Linked DNA regions of Diceros bicornis minor. The protein of the gene in region 1 purifies or fractionates together with the protein of each later gene. This does not show direct contact. Links are inferred from orthologs where the notes say so. Each region holds a gene or a part of one and is shown in the gene's direction. Other genes may lie near its edges. The genes, in order: CEP43, CEP78 and PPP2R3C.

Region 1 (7,102 bases):
TTCATATATTCCATGGTCTGCTCCCATTTTTTCCAGATCCACTGGTTTCTGTTTTCTCTCGTGTGTCCTAATTCTAACAGATCGGATCCCCTGTTCCCCCAAGCGGGCCATGCTGCCCATCCCTTATCTCTTACTCACATTGTCCTTGATGTTTGGAATGACCTTCCTTCTCTCACCTTGTTCTGATTTAGTTATTCTTCTCAAGGCCCTCCTCAAAAACCAACTTCTTAATGAATCTTTCCTTTCCTGATCTCAGGAAATAGGTGTGATTTCCAACAAACTATCTTATTTTATATTACAAAACTCTTAGGTAGGTTAGTACTTCACACCTGAGGGGACTGAGGCTTAGAAAGGTCTAGAAACTTTGAGAATTAAACAGTATAAATCCTCAGATTCAGGAAGCCTGCTGAATGCCATGGTGTGCTAGTGTCTTGACATGAGTACAGCCATGTTTGGCGGCTCCATTGACCTATAGCCACCAGCACACAAAGAAATACAAAGCTGCTTTCTGTGTGGTGGGAACTGGCCTTTTCCCGGGAACTGGCCTTTCTCCCACGGAGGGAGTTGCAAGTTGTAACAGTTCAAGGCTCTTGGAGCGTCGTAGCACGGGATGGACTGGCCATCTGTCCTGGGCTAAGAAGATAACCAAAGAAAACAATGCACGTACACAACTACTGGGCTGGGACGTTAGCCAAGGGGCTCAGTGCACGTACGCCACTGATAACCATGTGTGCATGGAAACACTGGATGCTTGCTCTGTAAACTCTGTAACTGCTTATATAAACTGCTGGAGACTGAGACCCGGTGAGAGTTCCACCTGTGGAAGGGACACCTTGCCCAGGACGTGTGATTCTTGCCCAGCCGCGTCGATTGACAGGGCTCTCCCGGCAGTGGGGCGTGGATATTGTGAGTAACTGATTTGATATAAGTAATTGATTTACTATAAAGTAACTGATTTGATGTGTTCTCTTTTCAGTCAACCTGGTGTTTCTCTTTCCGGTTGATTTGTGTCATTTCCCTTCAGTCGACCTGGTGTTTCCCTTTCCGATCGATCTGATGTTTTTCCCTCTTATTATATGACCTATTCGGATCTGCTGCTATCTCAGCCGATGTGGATATTTTCCCTTTCCAGTCGAGCTGGTGTTTTTTCCCTCTTATTATTTGACCTATTTGGATCTGTTTGCGGACTATCGCCTTTACTATACTCTATATAATAAAATATACCTTCAGTCCATTTGTTTGGAGTGGAAAGTGTCTTTTACATCTCCGATCGAATCCCCAAACCTCTCATAACAGCTAGTAAATGTTTAATAACTGGCTCTCTGTGAAAAGGAAAAGCCCCAATTCATAGTATTTGCCAATCTCCATGGTGTTTCCTACCACAGTGAATTTCAAGCTACCAATGTGATATCATGGGATTTTCTGGCTCACAAAAACGGCTTTTACACAGTGCCGTAGGTTGATACCTGGCTGTCATATTCTTGCTTCAGCATTTTGATATCATTTTTAAAAAAATCTGACTCCACAGTCTTTAAAATTACCATCGCCCCCATATCCCCAAGTGCTAGAGAGATTGCACCAGCCTGTGCCCCCCTTCCATGGTGTCCCCTCTCACTTAGTCATAACAGCAAAGCTGCTGCACCATTCCAGGGGTACCACTGCCCCACTTACCACCAACAGTGTGTCCTTGTTGCTATCTGGCTAGTGAGTGATCCAATTCCAGAACCCCATTCCTAGGATGGGCTTCACATGACCAAATCTGGGGTAACTGTCTTAGTCTGAGTGCCCCAGAAGCCTGAGATAAGGATTTGAGTGCAAACAGTTTATTTGGGAGAGAATCCCGGGACACAGCAGTAGGGGAGTGGGAAATGGGACAAGGCAGGGAAGTAAACTCATAAGAGCCGTGCTATTAAGCAGGTTTCTGTTTAACTGGAGCTCAAACAAGAAACACCGGGAGCCAGTGTAGAAGGCACCTTAGAGGTACCTTTCTGCCCCCCTGGGGGTGAGGGAGTTGGGGGTCCTTATCTACTCTCTGCCAGCACTTGCAGGCACTCTCAGGAGGTATGTATTCCCTGGCACTTCAGGCCTTCCCCAAATGCAGGCAGAGCAGGGTCTGGTGACCAGAAAAAGTCAGCAGGCAAATCATCTCAGGTGGGGGCAGTTGGAGTATGCAGAAAAATCTTCAGTTCAAGGGCATAGGGGCTCTGTCTAACAGACCTATTATACCCCTAATAGGGTGGATGCTGTGGCTTGTTTTTCAATTGACCTACAGACAAGGTTTGAAAATATAATTATAATTAAGAGAAGAATGCAAATTCTTGATAGCATAAAAATAAAACTCTAACTCAGAACATTAGGAGCAGTAGAGGTGGAAAGGTGAGAGAGAGTATAAATACATGAATTTCCTCATCTCCCATATTAGGGAGCCAATAGGCAATGTGTAAAATTTATAAATAATGATTTAGGTAAACAATTTAAAGTCACGAAATCTTCCACCAGCAGAACTAAAAGTAATGTAATTTTTAAAATTAGGAGTTGGAAGAGAAGATACATTTTTATCCTTTGAAAAGCTGCTGTTTATGGTTGAGGAGTCAAGATGTATATTATTTAGAGTTATAACGAAAAGAATGAGAAGAACTAAAACAAACATAATTGTTGTTGGGTCTAGAATATGTACCAGGTGATGGATAGGTGAGTAGGAAAGATGCAGAGACTTTTACTTTTCATTTAATGTTTTCCTCTTGTTTGGATTTTTAACCATTGGTATGAATTACTTCCACAACAAACAAAACAAATGCAAACATACTGTAGTCTAATAACAAAAAATAATTTTTGGAACACCCTTAAACAGAGCACTATGCAGGAGTTAAAAAGAATGAGGCAGAGTCTATACCTACATACATCAAAAGATGGTCAGGATTTATTAAACGAAATTAGTAAATTAAAAGACAGTAAGCACAGGACCCAAATTACGGAAGGGGAAAAAGTACACGTGTGTAGTAACGTGTCGATGTACAAAGTTGTCTGGAAAGATATATACCGTACCAATTTTAACAGACGCTGCCAGCAGGGAGAAAAGTTGGCCTCGGCAGAACACCTCGACTTCTACTTCTCATTTGACATATTCCCTTTGTGTCTCAGATAATAATCTGCAGACCACCTGCTTTAGAATCACCTGGCCTACTTGTGAAAATGATTCCTAAAACCTACTGCAGACCGCGTGAGGACCCCTGGGGTGGAGGTCTAGAATCTGCACTTTTTTCTTACAAGCTTCCTAGTACGTAGTTTTGAATTTCCTCACTTTTCTCAACATGTTATTCCAAAACTATGCAAACACACAGGGTGTAAAGAACAGTACAACAGTATATTGAGCGTCCATAAATGCTCCACTGTACCGCACAGTGTAGACGTGCTCTCTCTCGGAGAGCGGGTGCACATACACGCATGCACGTACATGCTCTCCCGGTGACTGCATGCACACACGCACACACGTTCATGTATGCACACACATTTCGGCCGCACCTTGGAGAGCAAGTGGCAGACATCAGGAATTTCCCCCGGCTTCCAGCACCCGTGTCTACACAGACAACCTGCAGGCGCACACCAGGAACATTTCAAACGCCTCTGCTACCCCAGTCTCCCCTCCCCGCCCTTCCCCGCGCCGCCCCCCTCTTCCACCGTCGCCTGCAATGTTCCCGCCTCCCGAGACCCTGAGGCCCCGCCCCGCCCTTTCTTATTGCCCCGCGCCCCGCCCATCTCTCGTCTCCCCGAGGCCCCGCCCCGCCCTTTCTTATTGCCCCGCGCCCCGCCCATCTCTCGTCTCCCCGAGGCCCCGCCCCTCCACATCGCCCCCCCCCCCCCGCACCCCGCCCATCTCACGGCGCCCCCTAGGCCCCGCCCCCGGCCCCCCCGCCCCCGGCGTGAGGAAGGGCTGCGCGCTGGCACCGGGGGCGTGGCTTCGGCCGCGCCGGCGCGCGCCGTGCGGAGTCTGCGGCGGCGGTTGGCCGTTGGCGCGGCTTGGGCGGTTGTCTTGGAGAAGCAAGATGGCGGCGACGGCGGCCGCGGTGGTGGCAGAGGAGGACACGGAGCTGCGGGACCTGCTGGTGCAGACGCTGGAGAACAGCGGGGTCCTGAACCGCATCAAGGTGGGGCGGGGGCCGGGCCAGGCGTGACGAGGGGAGGCCGGCGGCGTCCGTGCCGCAGGGCCTGTGCGGACGGCGGGCGTCACAAAGGGACGCAGGGAGCGTCGGGCTGGCATCCCGGGCGGGGGGCGGGCCACCTCCAGGCGGACCGCGCGGGGGTCGAGGGTCACTCCCGGGAAGCTCCGGCCGCGCGGCGGCGTGCGGGAGAGGCGCCCCGGCCTGGACTCTTCGTCCGAGGAGGCCAGACCACCGGCTCCCCGGGCCCCCACCCCGCGTCCGGGGCTCCAGTCGCCCGCTGCCCCCCTGAGTCCCCCCTCGTTCGGGGGTCGAGTCGCCCGCTGCCCCCCTGAGTCCCCCCTCGTCCGGGGGTCGAGTCGCCGGCTGTCCCCCGACCCCGCCCTACGTCCGGGGGACCCAGTCGCCCACGCCCCCCCCCCCCCCCCCCCCGCCCAGCTCGCTGTAACCAGCTGGGTTGCCCGTGTCTGGCGAGGTATTTCTCCAGGTGGACTTCTCAGACATTGTCGTGGCTCGTAGGCACGATTAGGAAAGGGAGAGCAGAGCTAAAAGAGTGATGGTGCTGAGAGAAGATGGAGGGGAGCAGTGGTAGACTTGGGGAACGGAGAGCTAGTTGACTCTCTTTTCAGAATGTTTCAGGATGCTTTTTCCACATCTCTCTGCGTTATCGTCTGGCTAGTTTTCCTTTCGTTTGGCTTCAGGTGGTGTGGATGGTGCCTATCTTAGCAAGTATTCGCTTCTTGTCATGAAAATCGTGTTGAGATAATTTTTGTTCCTTTATCCTTCTTTTTTAAGGCGGAACTCCGAGCAGCTGTGTTTTTAGCGCTAGAGGAGCAAGAAAAAGTAGAGGTATGAAATTGACAAATTTTAATGTGACTGTATTCGTTGATGTTTAATTTCTAATTACTTAAAAACCGTTCTAAAATATTGTTTATAGTAGCATATAGCCAGGGATAATTTTGGACTATTAATGATTACATTTTTTACTGTTGAGAGAGAGTCAAAATTATTCTCTTCTTGTGTATGTTTTAGAATTTTGGAATAATTTAAAGAAAGTTAAGGTACCACAGTAACTCTGAGGCTGGTACTAAATCTTAAATGTCATAGATCTCTTTCCATAGGGGAGATCTGAGACACAAGTTCATAGGAGTTACACACAGAAATGATTCTGTTGTCAGTGAGTTTACTTTCTTGCAGGATCCCTCAGAACCTTCAGTATGCTAATGTTCATTGGGGAATATAGTATGCAACTTTTCCCAAAATTATCTGATCACCTAGTTGTTTTAAAATCATGTAATCTTTCTTATTGTCAAAAGTCAAACCACTTCTCTGTACAAGCGTATTTCGTTTTTTCTCTCTACGCTGAGTCCCATCACCATCCTGAGTAAGTGTCTTGGACCTTGTCATCAACAAGAATCACTCCATAATCAAGCTCCTCACCTTGCCCTCTGACAAATCGCTCCCCGCCACAGCTCACTTCTTTAGACCTAGATGCCTGCTCCTCTTTAACTCCATGGAGCTCTTCCAGGCATTAGTCTTCTCTTGGCTGTCTTTTGTTCCTGACTGGTCTGGATGCCATGGGCCATATCTCAAAAACCCTAACTACCTCGCCTTCCAGCCATACTTGGTCTGGGAAAAATCCTAATGGTCATTGAATTTAGCAAAGTAACTCCCTTCCCTGTTCGTGCATGTGCGTGCTAGAGCAAAGTCACCCAACGCTGTGATTGCTGATGTTGCTAATTGGTGGACACCGACCTCAGTGAGGTCCTGAGCAGACCTGGCTTTCTACTCTGTGCTCAGGACCTCCTGTGGCAGCTTCACTGTAGCCCGTACCTCACCCCTTTGCTTCCCTCTCCACAGACGGTCTTGTCTGTTCCTTCAGGGGAAGTAGAAGCACCAGGGCCTAACTTGCTGTGTCCTCTCCCTCAGGCTGTCACTCACCTCAGAAAAAGCTACCCTGCATCTGTTTGTCACTTTTCCTCCTTCCTTCCTGCTTTAGTAGGGGAAGCTCTGTCTTGTCCAAGAAGCATCACTTTCTCTGGGTTTTGCCTTCCAGGTACTGTCAGCCCCTCAGCGACTTGCTGTATCTTTGGCCTCCTTCTTTCTTTTGGCTCTTCTCTTGAGGATGGAAACATGTTTACAGCTCTCTCAAGGAGAAAGCTGTTCCCTTGACTCTTGTTCTGCTTTTAATACCTCTCTATTTTTTTCCCTCATGGCCTAGGTTTGAAAGAATGTGTATGTCTTATACCATTTCTTATGTTCTAGGCACCCTTTAATCCATTAACGTCTTAAATCCAACTCTACTACACCAAAGTAATTTCTCTTGCTGCGGTCAAGAAGAATCTCCTGATTGAGTCTATTTTAGTTCTTACCCATCTTAGTTGCTCTTTGTGGCATTTGACATTCTCAATTCCTCCTTCCTTCTTGAAAATCTCCCTTGACTTTTGGGACCCTTTTCTTTCTGTTTTCTTTTTTCCTTTTGATCAGTCCTTGGATTCTTTAGCGTGATCTTTTTCCTAAACACCTCACTTAAATCATTGGTGCATTTTCCCGTAGTTCAAATTCTGTGTTCTCTCCCTGGATGACCTCAACCACACCAGTAACTAACTTCAGCCCTCTGTCTCTGGTCCATATCTCCGTCTGGAGCTTCAGACCTGTACGGTACACTGCCTCCTAGACTGCTCTTCTTTACAGGGACCATAATTTATCCAAGCAGGAAACCTGAGAGAGCCCCTAGACCTTGCTCTTTTCTCCGCGTGTCCAGTAGGTCGCCTGCTTCTGTGTCTGTCAGTTCTGTATCTGAAATGTACAGCTGCCCACTTTGCCTACACTTAGTTATCTCTTTTCCAGATTACTTTACCGTTTCCTTTTCTCCAGTCTCCCCTTCACTGGTGTCCCTCACCATCTTCCTGAAGTCCTTTCCCCACATTGCTCCCAGCTGGGCT
Region 2 (8,030 bases), on another chromosome or scaffold:
GCTGCCTGCAACTTTGCTAAACTGTCAGATTTTAAGTGGCAGAGTATAAATTGGGTTTGCATTTTACTGCCTGGCCCAGGAGAGGGGAAGAGACCATGACTAGGGACAATGCAGTTGCTTATCAGCAGGATGGGCCTCTAGGGGAAAATATTAGCTCTTTATTTTTAAGTAAAATTTTAAATAGAAATGTAACATACATACATGCCCATGACATTCTTCTCAGAAATAGAACAAAGAATCCTAAATTTCATATGGGGCAACAAAAGACCCCGAATAGCTAAAGCAATCCTGAGAAAAAAGAACAAGGCAGGAAGCATCACAATCCCTGACTTCAAAATATACTACAAAGCTATAATAATTAAAACAGCATGGTACTAGTACAAAAACAGACCCACAGATCAATGGAACAGAATTGAAAGCCCAGAAATAAAACCACATATCTATGGACACCTAATCTTTGACAAAGGAGCTAAGACCATACAATAGAGAAAGGAAAGCTTCTTCAATAAATGGTGCTGGGAAAACTGGACAGCTACTTGCAAAAGAATGAAAGTGGACCATCTGCTTTCACCATACACAAAAATTAACTCAAAATGGATCAAAGACCTGAAGGCGAGACCTGAAAATAAAAAACTCCTGGAAGAAAATATAGGCAGTACACTATTCTTCATTGGTCATAAAGGGATCTTTTCAAATTCCATGTCTACTCGGACAAGGGAAATGAAAGAAAAAATAAACAAGCAGGACTTCATCAGATTAAAGAGCTTCTACAAGGCAAATGAAACCAGGATCAAAATGACTAGGTAACCCACTAGCTGGGAAAAAATATTTGCAAACCATGTATCCAACAAGGGGTTCATGTCCATAATATATAAAGAACTCACACAACTGAACAACAAAAAAACAACTCAATCAAAAAATGGGCAGAGGAAATGAACAGACACTTCTCCAAATAAGATATACAGATGGCCAATAGGCACATGAAAAGATGCTCAACATCACTAATCATCAGGGAAATGCAAATTAAACCCACACTAAGATATCATCTTACACCCGTAAGATGGCTATAATGACCAAGACAAAAACAACAAATGCTGGAGAGGCTGTGGAGAAACAGGAACCCTAATTCACTGCTGGTGGGAATGCAAACAGGCGCAGCCTCTATGGAAAACAGTATGGAGATCCCTCAAAAAATTAAAAATAGAAATACCTTATGATCCAGCTATCCCACTACTAGGTATCTACCCAATGAACCTGAAATCAACAATCCAAAGAGGCTTATGCACCCCTATGTTTACTGCAGCATTATTCACTATAGCCAAGAAGTGGAAGCAACCCAAGCGTCCCTCGACTGATGATTGGATAAAGAAGATGTGGTGTATATATATATAATGGAATACTACTCAGCCATAAAAAAAGACAAAATCGTCCCATTTCCAACAACATAGATGGACCTGGAGAGTACTACGTTAAGCGAAATAAGCCAGACAGAGAAAGACAAACACCACATGATTTCACTCATAAATGGAAGATAAGCTAACACACGGACAGAGAGAACTGTTTGGTGGTTACCAGGGGCAGGGGGGTGGGAGGTGGGCACAAGGGGTGAAGGGATGCATTTATAAGTGACTGACAAACAATAATGTACAATAAAAATTTCACAATAAAGAAAAAAAAGAGTGGAGGGGGTTTGGAGGAGCCATTGTCAATAGCCATAAGGAAGGGCATGGAAAAAAGAAATGGGGACCATATGTCAGTTAAAATAAGACAGCCCATGTTGTTGACATAGCTCTGTGACTGGATCCAACAAACTCGTTGCTCTGAAAGCAGGTCCAGAGAACATGAATGTTAGAGATGTGCAGATGGCATTAGCATTGAGGTTCCATGGAAAGGTAAGTTCGCCTGGAAGTCTGGGTATAATGTTGTCAGGATGGGCTGGGAGTAGAGTACAGTGAATAAAAGGTCAAGTGATACCACTTAACCGTATTCTAGTCAAACATCCACTCACCAGACCCCTGAAGGAGGAGAGCCCATCTCTTGTACTGCCCAGTAGGCATGTCCCTCCCAAGTCATGTATCTGCGGGGAAGCTAAGGCATTTTGTCTTGGGCCAGGCACGAACCTGGCTTATCAGAGGATCCTAGGGGTGCTGTGGGGAGGCAGCTTTTGCTCACCATGTTCAGGGAAGCATGTGGGTAGAGCCCACAAGATGCTGAAAGCAGAACTGAAGCCATAGGAGCCAAAAGGAGAACTATTAAGCCATAATTAAATGGAAGTAGAGAAAAGATTCTCAGGCAAGCCTTGAAAGAAATCTTGCCAGACAGAAAATAAGTAAGCTTGGGGGAAATAAATTTTAAGTTAATATGTTAAGTGATGAATTAATATGATGAAGGCTTCCTTGAGCTGCATCCGTAGGTAGCAGCCACAAGGTGCTGGTGACGACTGGTGCTATAGGGAGAACAGAGGAGAATGTTCCCATAGTCATTATTCAGCACTTCCTATGTACCAACATTGTGCTAGGCATAGGGAATATAAGCATGAATGAGATACGGTCCCTGCCTTCAAAGGGCTTACAGTCTATGGAAAGAAAACCATCTAAAAAGATGCTTGTCATTGGATATACTAAGTGTTATGACAAGGGGATGTCAGGGAGCAGAGCAGTGAGGTACTAAACAAGCAGGGGAGGAGAGGTGAGGGTTAGGGAAAGAAGGCCTCCCAGGGAAGGGGGCCCCCAACCTGAAGTTGGGAAACAAGCGCAAGTTAGTCCACTAAAGAGGGAGTGGAGGAGGAGGGTCCTAAGTAAAGGAGCAGCATCTGTAAAGGCCCAGGCAGGAATGATAAAACATCAGAAACTTCAAGTAGTTCCACGTGTCTAAAGAAGACATTCAGGGAGGAATGTAGCAAGGAATAAGACAACACAGGTAGTCAAATCATGAAGGAGCCTCTATGGCAAGCTAAGGAATACAGACCTGATGCTGGGGCCAGTGAGAAATCTTTGGCTTTCCAGGAGGCAGTCTGACGTATGGAGAGAGATATCTTTGTTAGAAGTCATCAGCCTGGAAGGGGAAGTTAAGCCTGAGCAGGAGACAAGATTACCCAGAGAAACTGGGAAAGGTCAGAAGGGGTGGACGCTGAGGATGGGAACCTGAAAAACACCAACATTTAGAATAGGTAAGCAAGAGACACCCAAGAGCAAGACAGAGAAGAAGAAACTAGAGAAGTATAAAAAAGTCAGGTGGCTTCAAGGAAAACAGGGAAGAGGGAACGTTAAGAAGACAATGGACAACTACAGTAAGTGATGCTGGAGACTAAAAATGGATATAGCAACAAAGAAATCATACTGAAAATTGGAAACATTAAATTTCCATCAACAGGAAAATAGACAAATTATTGCATTTTCCTACATAGGAATGCTATACGGCAAGGAAAGTACATAAACTAGAGATAACACTACATAAAGCAAGTAGCAGAAGAAAACATAGAATGTTATATGCTGTTTAAGAATACTTACAAACGTAGCAGAAATATAAAGACATATATTGCAATGATGAATACCTTCAGAAGAGCGGTTATCCAGGGTTGTTAGAGAGTGGTTGTGACTGGGAGAGTGGTTACATGGGGCTCTTCAACAGGAATGGTGATGTTTCATTTCATAAGCTAGTTGGAGGATAGAGGAGGGTCTGCTATATTACAATTTGAGCGTGTTGCATGGAAAAGTCATGACTGACCACATCTAGGGAATTTTAGTGGAGGAGGTGTGTGTTGGTAGTGGGTGGAAGAGGAATGCCATAAACATAATGCCTAAGGCCAGACTGGAGGACTTCTATTGTTCCAGAAACCGGATTCAAATACAGGTTCTGAGGCCAATATTAAAAGATAAACTGAGGCACATCAAAAATTTTAAGAGTTTATTTGAGCAAAAATGGATTCAAATCGAGCAAGACCACACTAGAAGTGGTTAGGAGTGCTTCCACCGACAGCAGCTGGGGAGAGACGTGCATAGGAAAAGGAGGATGCAAAGCAAGGAAGTTATTGATCGGCTATACCCTATAGTTGGCTGTTTGTGATGGGCTGTCCTTAGCTTTTCCATTTCCTAACCCTGAGGCATTTACAGCCTTAGATTTTGGTTTGCTTATGTAGACTGCCAGAGCTTTAGAGCCACATCAGTCCAATGGCTTCCTTGTTTAATTAATTTAACACCAATTGTCTGAGTTCTTCCACTTCCTTAGCCGTAAGTTACTTAAATTCCCGTGACTCAGTTTCTCTTTTGTAAAGTGGATATACAATAGTATATTCTTTGTGGAGATTTTAGGAAAATTAAACGATTTCATACTGAAACAGTGCTTAAAATAATGCCTAGGAGACAGAAAGTACAAGTTACTAGAGACTTAACCATCATCATCATGAGTACAAAACAAAGTGATTATTAGTAATCACATTAATAATGTCCTGAACTCATGGAACACTTTACAGTTTGCCAACAACCATGGGAGGCAAGTAGAAACTACAGAAATTAAGAGTTCTTTGTACAACTAGCACAGACGTGAAAGAGTTATGGACGACAGTGGACATCTGAGTGGGTGTCGTTCGTACATCCCTTGTTGAGTGTACCCTCCTGGGCGGTGCGTGAATAGACACTCTACAGTTTAGGTCACTTTTTAAAATGCGTCGCTACATCCATAGCTCACTTTTATTGAACCAATCAGTAAACCTTTTTCGGAAACCCCAAATGCCGAGAAACACCTACCTTCTGCACCTCCGCGCCCCGAAGCTCCCGCCTCGCTTCCTCAAGGCCTGTCTCCGCAGGAGGCGGGGCCTGCGTGCTGACGCACGCCGAGCGCGCTGACGTCTTTGCGCACCGCCCCCGCGGGCACCCGCCCTCCGGCTTGAACCGCAGCCCCGCGCCGCGGAGGGCGCTGAGGCGGGCGCCAACGGCCGGCGCCGCGGGGCGGGAGGCGGCGCGGGAGCGCGGCGTCAAGGGGCCGGCGTAGCTGGGGCCCGGGGCCCTGCGTCTTCTGGCCGAGCCGCCGCTGCTGCGCTCGCTGCGGGGCCGCAGCCGCCGGCCCTGGGCGCCGGAGAGGCCGGGCGGCGACCGGGGGCTCCCAGGCGGGCGTTGTCTCCGCCGCCGGCGTCCCCCGAGGCCGCCCCTGGCCATGATCGACTCGGTGAAGCTGCGCCGCGACTGCGCGGCCGACTTCTTCTCGCACTACGAGTACCTGTGCGCGCTGCAGGACTCGGTGCCGCTGCCGGCCGTGCGCGCCTGCCTGCGCGAGGGCGTGCTGGACTTCAACGCCGACCGCCTCCGCGTGGTGGACTGGGCGCCGCTGCTGAGCACCCTGAGGATCAACAAAGATCTGCCGCTGGTCTCCGTCAGGAGCTTCTTCCAGCCGTGGCTGGGCGAAACAGGTTTGTAGTTCCCGCTCCCAGTGGCCCCATGGCTGTGCCGCAGAGCGGGATTTTAGACGGTGCCAGGTGGAGCCTGGGCGCCGGGGCGGGTGCCCAGTGCCGGGGTATGTGTGCGGTAGACAGGGCGTGCGCCCCGGGGCCCTTACCAGCTCGGTGACCCTGGGCGACTCCCCTAAGGGCTCCGGGTCTCTGTTCTCATCCGTAACACGGGCTTAACGGGACCCACTCCGTATGGTGACTGCAAGGATTCGCCGGGTTCGTGCTTGTACAGCACTTAGCACAGTTTGGGACATTGTTAAGCGTTAGAGAGATGTTAACTCGTTTAATGAATGACTTTGCTTGATACAGAACAAAGAGATTAGGAAGTTGATGCATCCCAGCCTTTTGCTTCATTTCGTTTTAAGACAAGACTCTCTCTGATAGGGAAAAAATTTTTTTTGAATGGTAGCATCATATAGTGACAAGAGCACAGATGTGAAGGCAGCCTACGGTTTGAATTCCAGGGCTTACATTCTGTGTGGCCCGGGCAGGTTACTCTTGAACTACGATACCCACACGTAAAATGGCATTAAAACCCGCTCTGCCAGTGGGTTCTTAGAATTAAGCAGGTTATGTGTGTAAAGGATCCTGGCACTTGAATGAGCTCAGTCAGCACCAAGCACTGCTGGAGACAGGCTCCTGCCCTAAAGGATCGCCCCTTCTGGTCGGGGAGGCAGCACGGCAGTCTGCAAGAAGTGAGCTCCGGTGCTGCGGAGCACAAAATATTGGAAGGGAAGGTGCAGGGAAGGCTTTTTGGAGGAGGTGTCCTCCTTTCTAAGGATATTTTCAAGGTACTCAGATGGCAGGAGGGAGCAGCTTGTGTCCAAGTTTGAGACGTGTAAGAAAATACAGGAAGGGGCCGGCCCGGTGGCCCAGCGGTTAAGTGCGTGCTCCGCTTCGGCAGCGGCCCGGGGTTCGCAGGTTTGGATCCCGGGCGCACACCGACGCACCGATTCTCAAGCCATGTTGTGACGGCATCCCATATGAAGTAGAGGGAGATGGGCACGAATGTTAGCCCAGGGCCAGTCTTCCTCAGTAAAAAGAGGAGGATTGGCAACAGATGTTAGCTCAGGGCCGATCTTCCTCACATAAAAGAAAATACAGGAAAACTAAGGTGCAGGACTAGAACTTACGGTTTGAGAAAGAAGGGAGAGTTGAGACTGAAAACTTGATGGGGGCCAAACAGAGAGGAGCCTTGTTTGTCCTGTTAAAAGGTTGGCTGTTAATCCTGAAGGCTGTGGGAAACACGGAGGATGATGAGCTGGGCTTTTGATTTAGAAACTCGCTCTGACCTCCGTTTGGAAGGCAGTTGGTTGGGAAGAGGGTGAATTGTAATCTGAGGGCCCAAATTAAGGTATAGAAAGGGAGGACTGGATTTCAGAGATCAAAGAGACAGAATGGATGGGGCCTGCTGACCAGTTAGCTGAGGGAGGGCTGCATCTGGGGGACAGTCTGCAGCAACACCTTTCTGTGAGATGCCGAGCACAGTAGGCAGAGATTGGGAGTGGGGAGAGGATCTTACTTCGTCTTTAATGCTTTAAGAGGGGCCTGTGGGGCATCCATGAATGTTTGCTAGACAGGTCTGGGCCCAAGTTAGAGATCTGGGCTTTATGGGAGGGCAAAAGTTTGAAGGCTGACGTTACCCACGAAGAAGATCCAGAAAATCATAGGTCTGAAAGATGTTTTTTAGAGGGACACACTTGAGTATGTTTATAAGCTGAGAGAAAGTAGCTAGCAGAGAGGGAGGGTGTGAAGATCTAGGAGAAGAAATGACTATTGATTTATTTTAAAAAACCTAAACATTTGTCATATACCTGGCTCTTTTCTAGGCTCTGGGGTTCGCACCATCTGTTATCTCTTAGGCAAGGACAGTTTAACTCATCCACTGGTGAAAAAAAATCAGGTTATTCTCTGCATCTCATTCAGGTGTAGGAGCTGTTCTGCACCTCTGAAGGGACTTGACTTAAAGTAATAACTTAGGAATCAAAAGAAGTTATAGTTGGAAAGGACCTTGGAGTCAAGGGCACTGTAGTAAATCTTGCCTAATATTTTACATTGAACGTAAGAAAAATGTACTAGACCATTCTCTTCAGAGTTCCTTCACTGAACCTTCTTTATCTTTTGCATCCAGTGGGTCTAGGTTGTAGATTTTAACCTCCTAGATTTGCTTCTTCACCCTTAATTAAGTTTTGCCTGGACTATTGCAGAAGCTTCTAGCTGGTTTTGCTGCCCCTGAGCTCAGTGTCTCTCACTTATCTGCCTACTCGGCTTGAGTGAGCTTCGAAAATGAAAAGATATGCTTAAAATAATGCTTATAATGGCTCGCCCGCACAGGATTAGTGCCTGCTGGTTTGTGTGTTTGTGTTCTGCACAGAGGCGTGCAATCTGAGCTGTGCTCTGCCAAGCCTCATGGGGCTAGTTGGCCCTGAGGAAGGGGTGCTTTTTCTTGTCTATCTGAAGTAGGTGCCTTTTTCTTTCCTTTTTTTTTTTTAAACTTTTATTTATTTATTTTTTCCCCCAAAGCCCCAGTAGATAGTTGTATGTCATAGCTGCACATCCTTCTAGTTGCTGTATGTGGGACGCGGCC
Region 3 (7,497 bases), on another chromosome or scaffold:
AAACAAGCAATCCAAGAATGCAATAAAACCTGTTTCAGACTCACCTGAGGTGTCGTCTTTCTGTATTGGTCACCTCCATCTATCACATCCCTCATGATTTTTCCCTTGAGAAATTCATACTCTTCCGGACTCAGGTGAATAGACTCTATGGTTTTTCCACAGCCCAAACACTGACCACTGTAATTACAATTGTTTGTGTTAAATAGTGTCCTAGAAAAGAACTTTTTCTAAAATGAATAATCCTAGGACATGAGGAAATTGAAAGGTAATTTAAAAAGAGCATTATACGTTTGTGATCATCACATGCATCTGATTTTTTGTAAACTTGATAGTATCACACATCAGTGTGCCAGAAAACCTAAGAATACACTGCTGGGCATCCAGATCAAGTTTTTAAAGTCATTCCTAAAACACAACTAGGTCCCAAATCTCTAGGGGAAAACATCTCTGAGGCTTCACACCAGGCTCACAGCACCTATAGAAAAAACATTTTGAACACTGCAACTTCTCCATATGCAAAACACGGCTTTTCCCCTGGGTACTCTAACTCTTAATTATCCTATCTCTAGAATATTCTTAAAAATTTTTAAGTCAGTAGCAACAAAACCTACTAAACCTGAATCAAACAAGTTAAAAATTAAATATTGGCCTTTACCTTTTTTGGACTGTTGTGAATTGTCCTTTCCATTGTTCTCCAGGAACACTACAAAAAAGATTGCAAAATCAAATCATCAGAAGGTCAGGTGCCTACTGAACTGAAAGATAGTCATTGTATTTAGAAACACAGTAGGCAAGAGCTCTGAAAAGTTCCGGATACTTCCCAAGAATGGTTAAATTACAAGAGTAGTTGATACACCACGATGGGACTAAGGAGCTGATGGTACCCTACTCTGGATCTCCTTCCCTTTGCTTCTCCTCCAGTCATCCGACCCTCATCTTCAACTCGAAATCTACCTTCACAGGACTTGTACAGAAAGCAGCTATTAGTACTGTAACCTCTAAATCAAACTCAACTCTAACCCTCTCCATAAAGCTACCACAGATTGTTCCTACCCAGAACAACTTCTTCTCTTATACTATCATGTTATACACCACTATTATTTAACGGTCAAGTATCATATTCCCATTTAGGTTATGAATGCTGTCATAATAGATCCTATATCACAAAACATTCTCAGTGCCTAGCCTAATTGGAGGCATTCAAAACTTACTGATTTATTTGCTCAACCAACTTATCTTTTCTTCTTTCCTCCTACACATATTACCATCAATTCCTATTGATTCTATTGCCTTCTCTCCTTCCCTAGTTCTTAATTCAAGATATCATCATCTCTCATTCAAACCTATAGTTCCCTCCAAACAGATCTCCCTGTTTCCAATCTTAATCTCTCTCCAATCTTCTTTTCGCACTGTTTTGGCAGTACCTTTCTAAAAATCCACTGTGGGACGAGCACTCTTGATAACACAATAAAACCCAAAATCTTCAAAGATTTTCACAATCTAGCTCCTCCGTTGATATTCAATAAATTCATTAAATAAGATAACTAAGCATGATTGCTACTTCAAAGCTCTATAAAGATAATATATAGTAGAAAAGCAAGAGAAAAGGAATTATTTTTTAGGAAAGAGCCTGAAGCACATTAGTTGTGAAGAAATAAGAGAATAAAAGACTGCAGCAATAAATAGGCAGGTAGGCAATAACTAAAAGCAAAGGAGAAAGCCTTGGAGAGAGCAGTCGAATGATGGAAAGATCACAAATGAACAGGAAAGAGGAAGATTTTCTATTTTAATACCTGCATATCAGGTTTGATCAGGATCCCCTGTCCATTCCGTTCTACCGATCAATTTGATAAAATGCATAGATTAAACCAGTATGTATGCATGTTATACCAGTTACTAGGTTTCAGAACTTCTGAAAATACTAAAATGACCCAAAGACAGCTCCAGTTTACTTGCTAGGAACTCCAGCCACCAGTGCTATTGGTAACTACTCACATAATACTAGACACCTCAGAAAACCAAATAAATGATCCTTCTAAAAGGAAAAGACACATAAAATCTACAAGTGCTCTATAATTTTCCTTTTATGTGATGAGAAGAGATTAGCACAACTTGTTTATGCCACTATTTTTTTTTAAGAGAAAGAAAATTTTGTCTTAAATCTTACTAAGAGATGGAAAAAAAGTATAATCTGAGTAGAGTAATTCTCGGCAACTAATAAAAAAGAGGAGGCTTCTTTTAGGTATAGGTATTAAAATAAAAACATACATACAAAGAAAAATCAAAATTACCTCTCAAACCATGTTTTTATACTGTGTGCAAATGATTCTCCAGGATACAGCTGATTATTTCTTAGATACAAAAGAATGTCTAGTAGTTTGTTTGAATACTGATCATCTTTTACATCTTTTCCAAAATCAAAGAAGGCTTTTAAAGTTTCCAACATAGGAATAACACCATGGCCTAACAACTCCTGATACAAATCCCAAGCTATGTTCACATCTTGATGAAGCAGGGCTCCCTGGATACAGTCATGATAGTTCTTTTTTGAAGGGACCATTACTTTTTTGATGTCCTCTAACAGCAGCAAGGCCTCTCTCCATCTGTCTGAATGGATTAATCCCCGGATGAGAAGAGTGTTCCCTCCAGATTCTAAACTCTTGTATCTGGCTTTCATGATTTCGTAGACGTCAATAACTTCTGATGTCTGATTATGAAAGACACAAAGATACAAATACTTGACCAGCAAATCATAGCCTATAACACCATTGTTTTTTGCAGCTACCCAGGCTAGCAGAGATTTGGCCACATCTACAGAGCTATGGCAATGAGTCATTTGTGAACTGATCCAATTTTCAAAATTAGCCTTTCCTTTGAAATCTTCCTTAAGTTTATCCCACTCCTCTGAATTCAAAGGTTTTGTTGGAAGTTGAATAGTGTCCCTGACGGGTGACAAGGCATGATCTTTACTCTGAGGATTCATCTGTGATCTCTTCTTAGCCGCTCCAGCTGCAAAAAGATGAGGAGAATCAGAAGAAACTTGCTTCTTACTGCCCTCATCCCCTTTCCTGGGATATCTGGCCTTGGCAATGAGCAGATTCACTGCTTTAGTATTTTGTGGAGACACTGTTTTAAGAGAAATCCACTTCTGTTGGTTCCTGATGCCATAATAGTCTTTGAGAAAGAGAGAGAGGTAAGAGTGTCCTGGGCCTAGCCCAAGGTATGGGTTGCTCTTCCAAAGCTTAGGAAAGCTTCGAACACCGGTGAAACAGAAAGCCATTATGCAGTGAGATCAGCACCAGGTAGTGAGAGAGATGTTCAACAAGCCCTACTTTTACAGCACAACTTTTTAAAAGATGACTTTCAGTCTCTCACACACAAATCAAGGTTCTGCTTTGGGGGCTATTAAACAGCAACGAAGCCTGGTGAGTTCTCTCCATTAAACAACGATATGGGACATCTAACCTCCGTCGGAAACCCCAGACCCAGGTGACTCGGCAGGGACCCTCCGGTGCCTGTTATATTCCAGTCCGTGAACCTGAAGAGAAAGCACAAGGAGGACCGCCCAATTCGACTCACGTGGATCACAACTGTCCTCGAAAAGGGGCAAGATCTCATGGGAGCCTTGCTGAACAAGGGGCCTAAAGTGGAAAACCGCGCCCAGGAGCCGCCGACCCCAGACCCACAGCAGCAAGGATAGCGGCCCTGGTCCTGTATCCCAGTCTCCCCAGGCGCCAAACTCGTAAACGGGGGGAATGGGGGGGGGGGCGAGCCTACCACACAGACAAGGAAGGGAGATCCGCGAAGGGCACCGCCTACCGGGTACGGACCCAACGCAAACCAATTCCACTTCATTCAACAACTCACCGCAGCACTCACGCTAAACCCAACCATGAACGCAGCGGAAACTACCGCGTCCACAATGCACCGCGGCGACCCCGGGCGAGGGGGCGGGACCGAGCAGGGCGCGGGCGTTCCGCCGGGCCTGGCAGCGAGAAAAAGGCGATTCTGAAGCTTTTAGTGGCAGAAGGGGGTAGAGGCGGCGGCGGAAGGCGACTACTAAGTTTAGAGGACATTTAGGGCATCCATATATCCGCAGTGAACAATGAAAAGAAATTGTGAAGGAAGAAAGTTCTTCCCTCGAGCCGGAAAAGCTTGAGGACCCCTGAGTCACGTGGTGCACAAGCGCCAAAGGCCCAAGATGAAGAAATAAAAGCGCGGGCTCCCTTATCCTGCGCCTTTAAAATCGGGCTTGGTGAAGTTGGGACGCCGCCTTCAGGAGGATCATTTTCCACCTCTTTCACGTCGGTTTCTCCGCTGTCAGTGTGATCGCCGTAGTCTCCGCAGTGTAGAGGAATCGTTTTTGCCTCTTTAGCCACCTTCCGCCCGTGCCCAAGATGGCGGCTGAGCGGCCTCCCTAACCTTCGCGGGGCTGGACGGCGTGTGACGTCGGAGCTGGGAGGGGGTGGAGCGGGCAGTAAACAGCGAATGCAGGACCCGCTGCGCGGGAGTCAGCCATGGACTGGAAAGAAGTGCTTCGCCGGCGGCTAGCGACGCCCGACACCGGTCCAAACAGTGAGTTTGGGAGGGGCCGCCCGCAGAGCCAGGCCGGCCCTAAACTCCTAGAGGTTGGGGGAGAGCGGGGAGGAGCAGCGACGCGAGCGGCGCTTTCCGCTCCTCGAGAACCGCCCCTGACAAAGGAGGCAGAGTGGACTGGTTTAGGGATCCGGGGAGGTGTGACCCACACTTCCCGGGGAAAGGATTTGCGGGAATGAAAAGCTTCCTTAGCCTCTCACTTACATGGTCTTGACCCAGACTGTGAGGGAAAATTGAGAACCCCGGCTCCAACAACTCTTCGGTCCTTCCAGAACCTATGGTCCATTGATCCTACCGCCTTGTTACCATCACACTTTTCACTTCCCTCCTTATCCATCTAAAATGGATAACATTTAGGTTTCATAATCCATTCTTCCTTGTCCCTTTCGCCCTCCTTCACACTTGCTTGCTAACCAATCTAGTTAAAACTGTCTTTCGTATTCCACACCTGCACCCGGAGCAGCTGAAAGTGGTTGGAGAAAAAAGGAACCAGGGTGAATTGTCTCACTTTTAATTCGCGTCCACTCACCCAAAGTAGGTGTTTTCAGCCATTCATTTACACTCCTTCCGTGTTTCCCTAGACATTCACTCTCCCACAGTCTAAGGCAGTTCTTCTCATCTCCCAAACTTCCGATCCTCCAGTATGTCCTTCCTACTCCTTACCGTCAGCTGATGGACTTACGTATGTACGTATATGTATTTGAGAAAGTAGAAGCAATCAAAGAAGAACGTCACGTGTTCCCATTTACCATTGTCAGCCCCCCATAGGTGCGCATACACTCTGCCTTCACGGTTAAAATGAAGAACTGTCCAAGCTGCTATGTGAGACAGTCTCTGCACTCCAACACTAGATCGTGTTCCCTTTCTTTTATTCACTGCCTTCACTCTGGGCTTATCCTCTCTCTCAGGCATCATCAAATTTTGTGTCTCTACTGGATCGTTTTCATCAGCTGTGACAAACATGCTGTAATATCCCCCATCTTAAAAAAAAAATCATTTGATCTCACATCCGCCTCCAGCTTTTGCTGCATTTCTCTGCACCCCTTATAGGAAAACGTCTCGAAAAAGTTACCTATACTTGTGCTTTCTCCTCCCCTTCACTCTTAAAGCCACTCCATTGCATGTGTTATGTGTCAGGTACTGTTGTAGGTTATAACAGTAAACAAAACAGACAAAAATCTTTGTCCTTGTAGATCATGCTTTAGTGTTGGGAGAGATGATAAACAAAATGAGTCATTTAGTTGCACAACTTCTGGTTAATGCTGTTTCCTTCATCAGTGTGCTAGATTCCATCCCGTTTTTGCCTACTCAAGGATGCGCTCCCCCAGTCATCCCCTCTCTTCTGCATCATCAGTTTTTCTTTCTCAGTCATTCCCATCAGCATGTGAATATGGTGGTATTTCTCCCGTCTTAAAGAAACTGTCTTGTCTTAACTTCCACCTCCAGCTATGCCTCATTTCTCTGCTCCCATTATAGCAACACTTGTTAGAAGAATTGTTGGTTAAATCCGTACTCGTCTCTAATTCCTGTTTGTCAAGATGGTCAGTGATCTCCATGTTGTTCCAGTGGTCAGTTTTCAGTCCTCATTTTACTTGACCTGCCAGCAGTCCCTGCCAGGAACGTAGTAGTTCACTCTCTCCTCCTACGCATACTTTCTTCTCTTGGTTTCTGGGAGACACACTCTCTTAGTTTTCCTCCTACCTCACCTGCATCCCTTCTTAGTCTTTGCTTTTTCTTCCTCTTCTACCCAACAACTTAACGTTGAAATGCCCAAGGCTAAGTCCGTGGTCAGCTTCTATTCTCTGTCTACACTCACCTTCATGGTGAAGTTATCCAGTCATATGGCTTTAAATATTATCTATTCGTATTGTCTCCTAAATTTTTATCTCTATCCTGGACCTCTTCCCAAATGCCAGATTCATATATCTAATTGCCTACTTGACATTGCCACTTGGATCTGATAGATATCTTAATCTTAATTTTTCCAGAACTGAACTCCTGCTCTCCTTCCTAACTTGCTCACTTGTAGTTTTCCCCATCTTAGGTACTGGCAACCCCATATCTGGTCAAAACCTTTAGTTATATCTTTGTTATCTTTGACTGCTCTCGTTCTCTAATACCCACATCCAGTGTGTCAGCAAATCCTGGGACTAAAAAGAAAATACAGAGTATATTTCCTCCTGACGGCTTCCATTGCAGCCACCCTGTTCCAAGCCACCGCCGTCTGTCACCTGGATTAGCATTAGCCTCCTCATTGCTTCAGGTGGCTCTCTCCCTCACCAGAATAAAAGCCAAGGTCTTTCCAACCACCTGGTGGCCTGGCTCCCCATTGTCTGCCCTCCCTAATCTCCCCATGGCTCCTTGTGCTGCAGTCACACTGGCTGCCTCCCTCTTCCCTGCACACACCAGGCACACTCTCATCTTAGGGCCTTGGCACTGGCTATTTCCTTTGCCTGGAATGTACTTCCCCCTGGATATCTGGATAGCGTGCTTCCTCCTCTTCCTCAGTTTTTTAATTTCATCTCAGTGAGGCTTTCCCTGACACTCTGTTGAAAGCTGCATGTATGTATGGACACACATGCACACAGCTACTCACACATTTACTTGTGTATCTCTAGAATAGTTGAAGGAAAAAGAATGAAACAATGAACATGACTTTTGGGATTTGGGCTTGGGTGACTGGATGAATCGTGCTACCATCAACTGAAATGGAAATATGGAATTAGAGAAGAGTAGTAAGGTGAGGGATGGGGAGAATTATTTCAGCTATGTTGCAGCATGAGGATGAAAATATTTTGTTTGAATGGATGAGTTTAGAGTTCAAGAGCAATGTCTGGGTTACTGACATAGGTTTGGGACTTAGAAGTTAAACTACGAAAGTTGAAATGATAGAGGAAGAAG

Evidence for each region.
Region 2: the proteins of CEP43 (region 1) and CEP78 purify together in Homo sapiens (affinity purification with mass spectrometry; 3 studies listed by BioGRID and IntAct, with this or other methods). This does not show direct contact. The link is inferred for Diceros bicornis minor from reciprocal best matches to the Homo sapiens genes CEP43 and CEP78.
Region 3: the proteins of CEP43 (region 1) and PPP2R3C purify together in Homo sapiens (affinity purification with mass spectrometry; 3 studies listed by BioGRID and IntAct, counting the BioPlex papers as one, with this or other methods). This does not show direct contact. The link is inferred for Diceros bicornis minor from reciprocal best matches to the Homo sapiens genes CEP43 and PPP2R3C.

What each region holds. Positions count from the first base shown.
Region 1 is NC_080778.1:4,361,925-4,369,026, reverse strand, and holds the start of CEP43 (centrosomal protein 43), read left to right. Parts: upstream 1-4,007; 5' UTR 4,008-4,043; coding exon 4,044-4,145; intron 4,146-4,952; coding exon 4,953-5,006; intron 5,007-7,102. UniProt on the Homo sapiens protein: Required for anchoring microtubules to the centrosomes. Required for ciliation.
Region 2 is NC_080761.1:15,983,301-15,991,330, reverse strand, and holds the start of CEP78 (centrosomal protein of 78 kDa), read left to right. Parts: upstream 1-4,983; 5' UTR 4,984-5,151; coding exon 5,152-5,404; intron 5,405-8,030. UniProt on the Homo sapiens protein: Centriole wall protein that localizes to mature centrioles and regulates centriole and cilia biogenesis. Involved in centrosome duplication: required for efficient PLK4 centrosomal localization and PLK4-induced overduplication of centrioles.
Region 3 is NC_080744.1:14,270,319-14,277,815, forward strand, and holds the start of PPP2R3C (serine/threonine-protein phosphatase 2A regulatory subunit B'' subunit gamma), read left to right. Parts: upstream 1-4,423; 5' UTR 4,424-4,517; coding exon 4,518-4,575; intron 4,576-7,497. Other genes in the region: PRORP (mitochondrial ribonuclease P catalytic subunit), read right to left, coding at 45-177, 656-703, 2,292-3,280. UniProt on the Homo sapiens protein: May regulate MCM3AP phosphorylation through phosphatase recruitment. May act as a negative regulator of ABCB1 expression and function through the dephosphorylation of ABCB1 by TFPI2/PPP2R3C complex.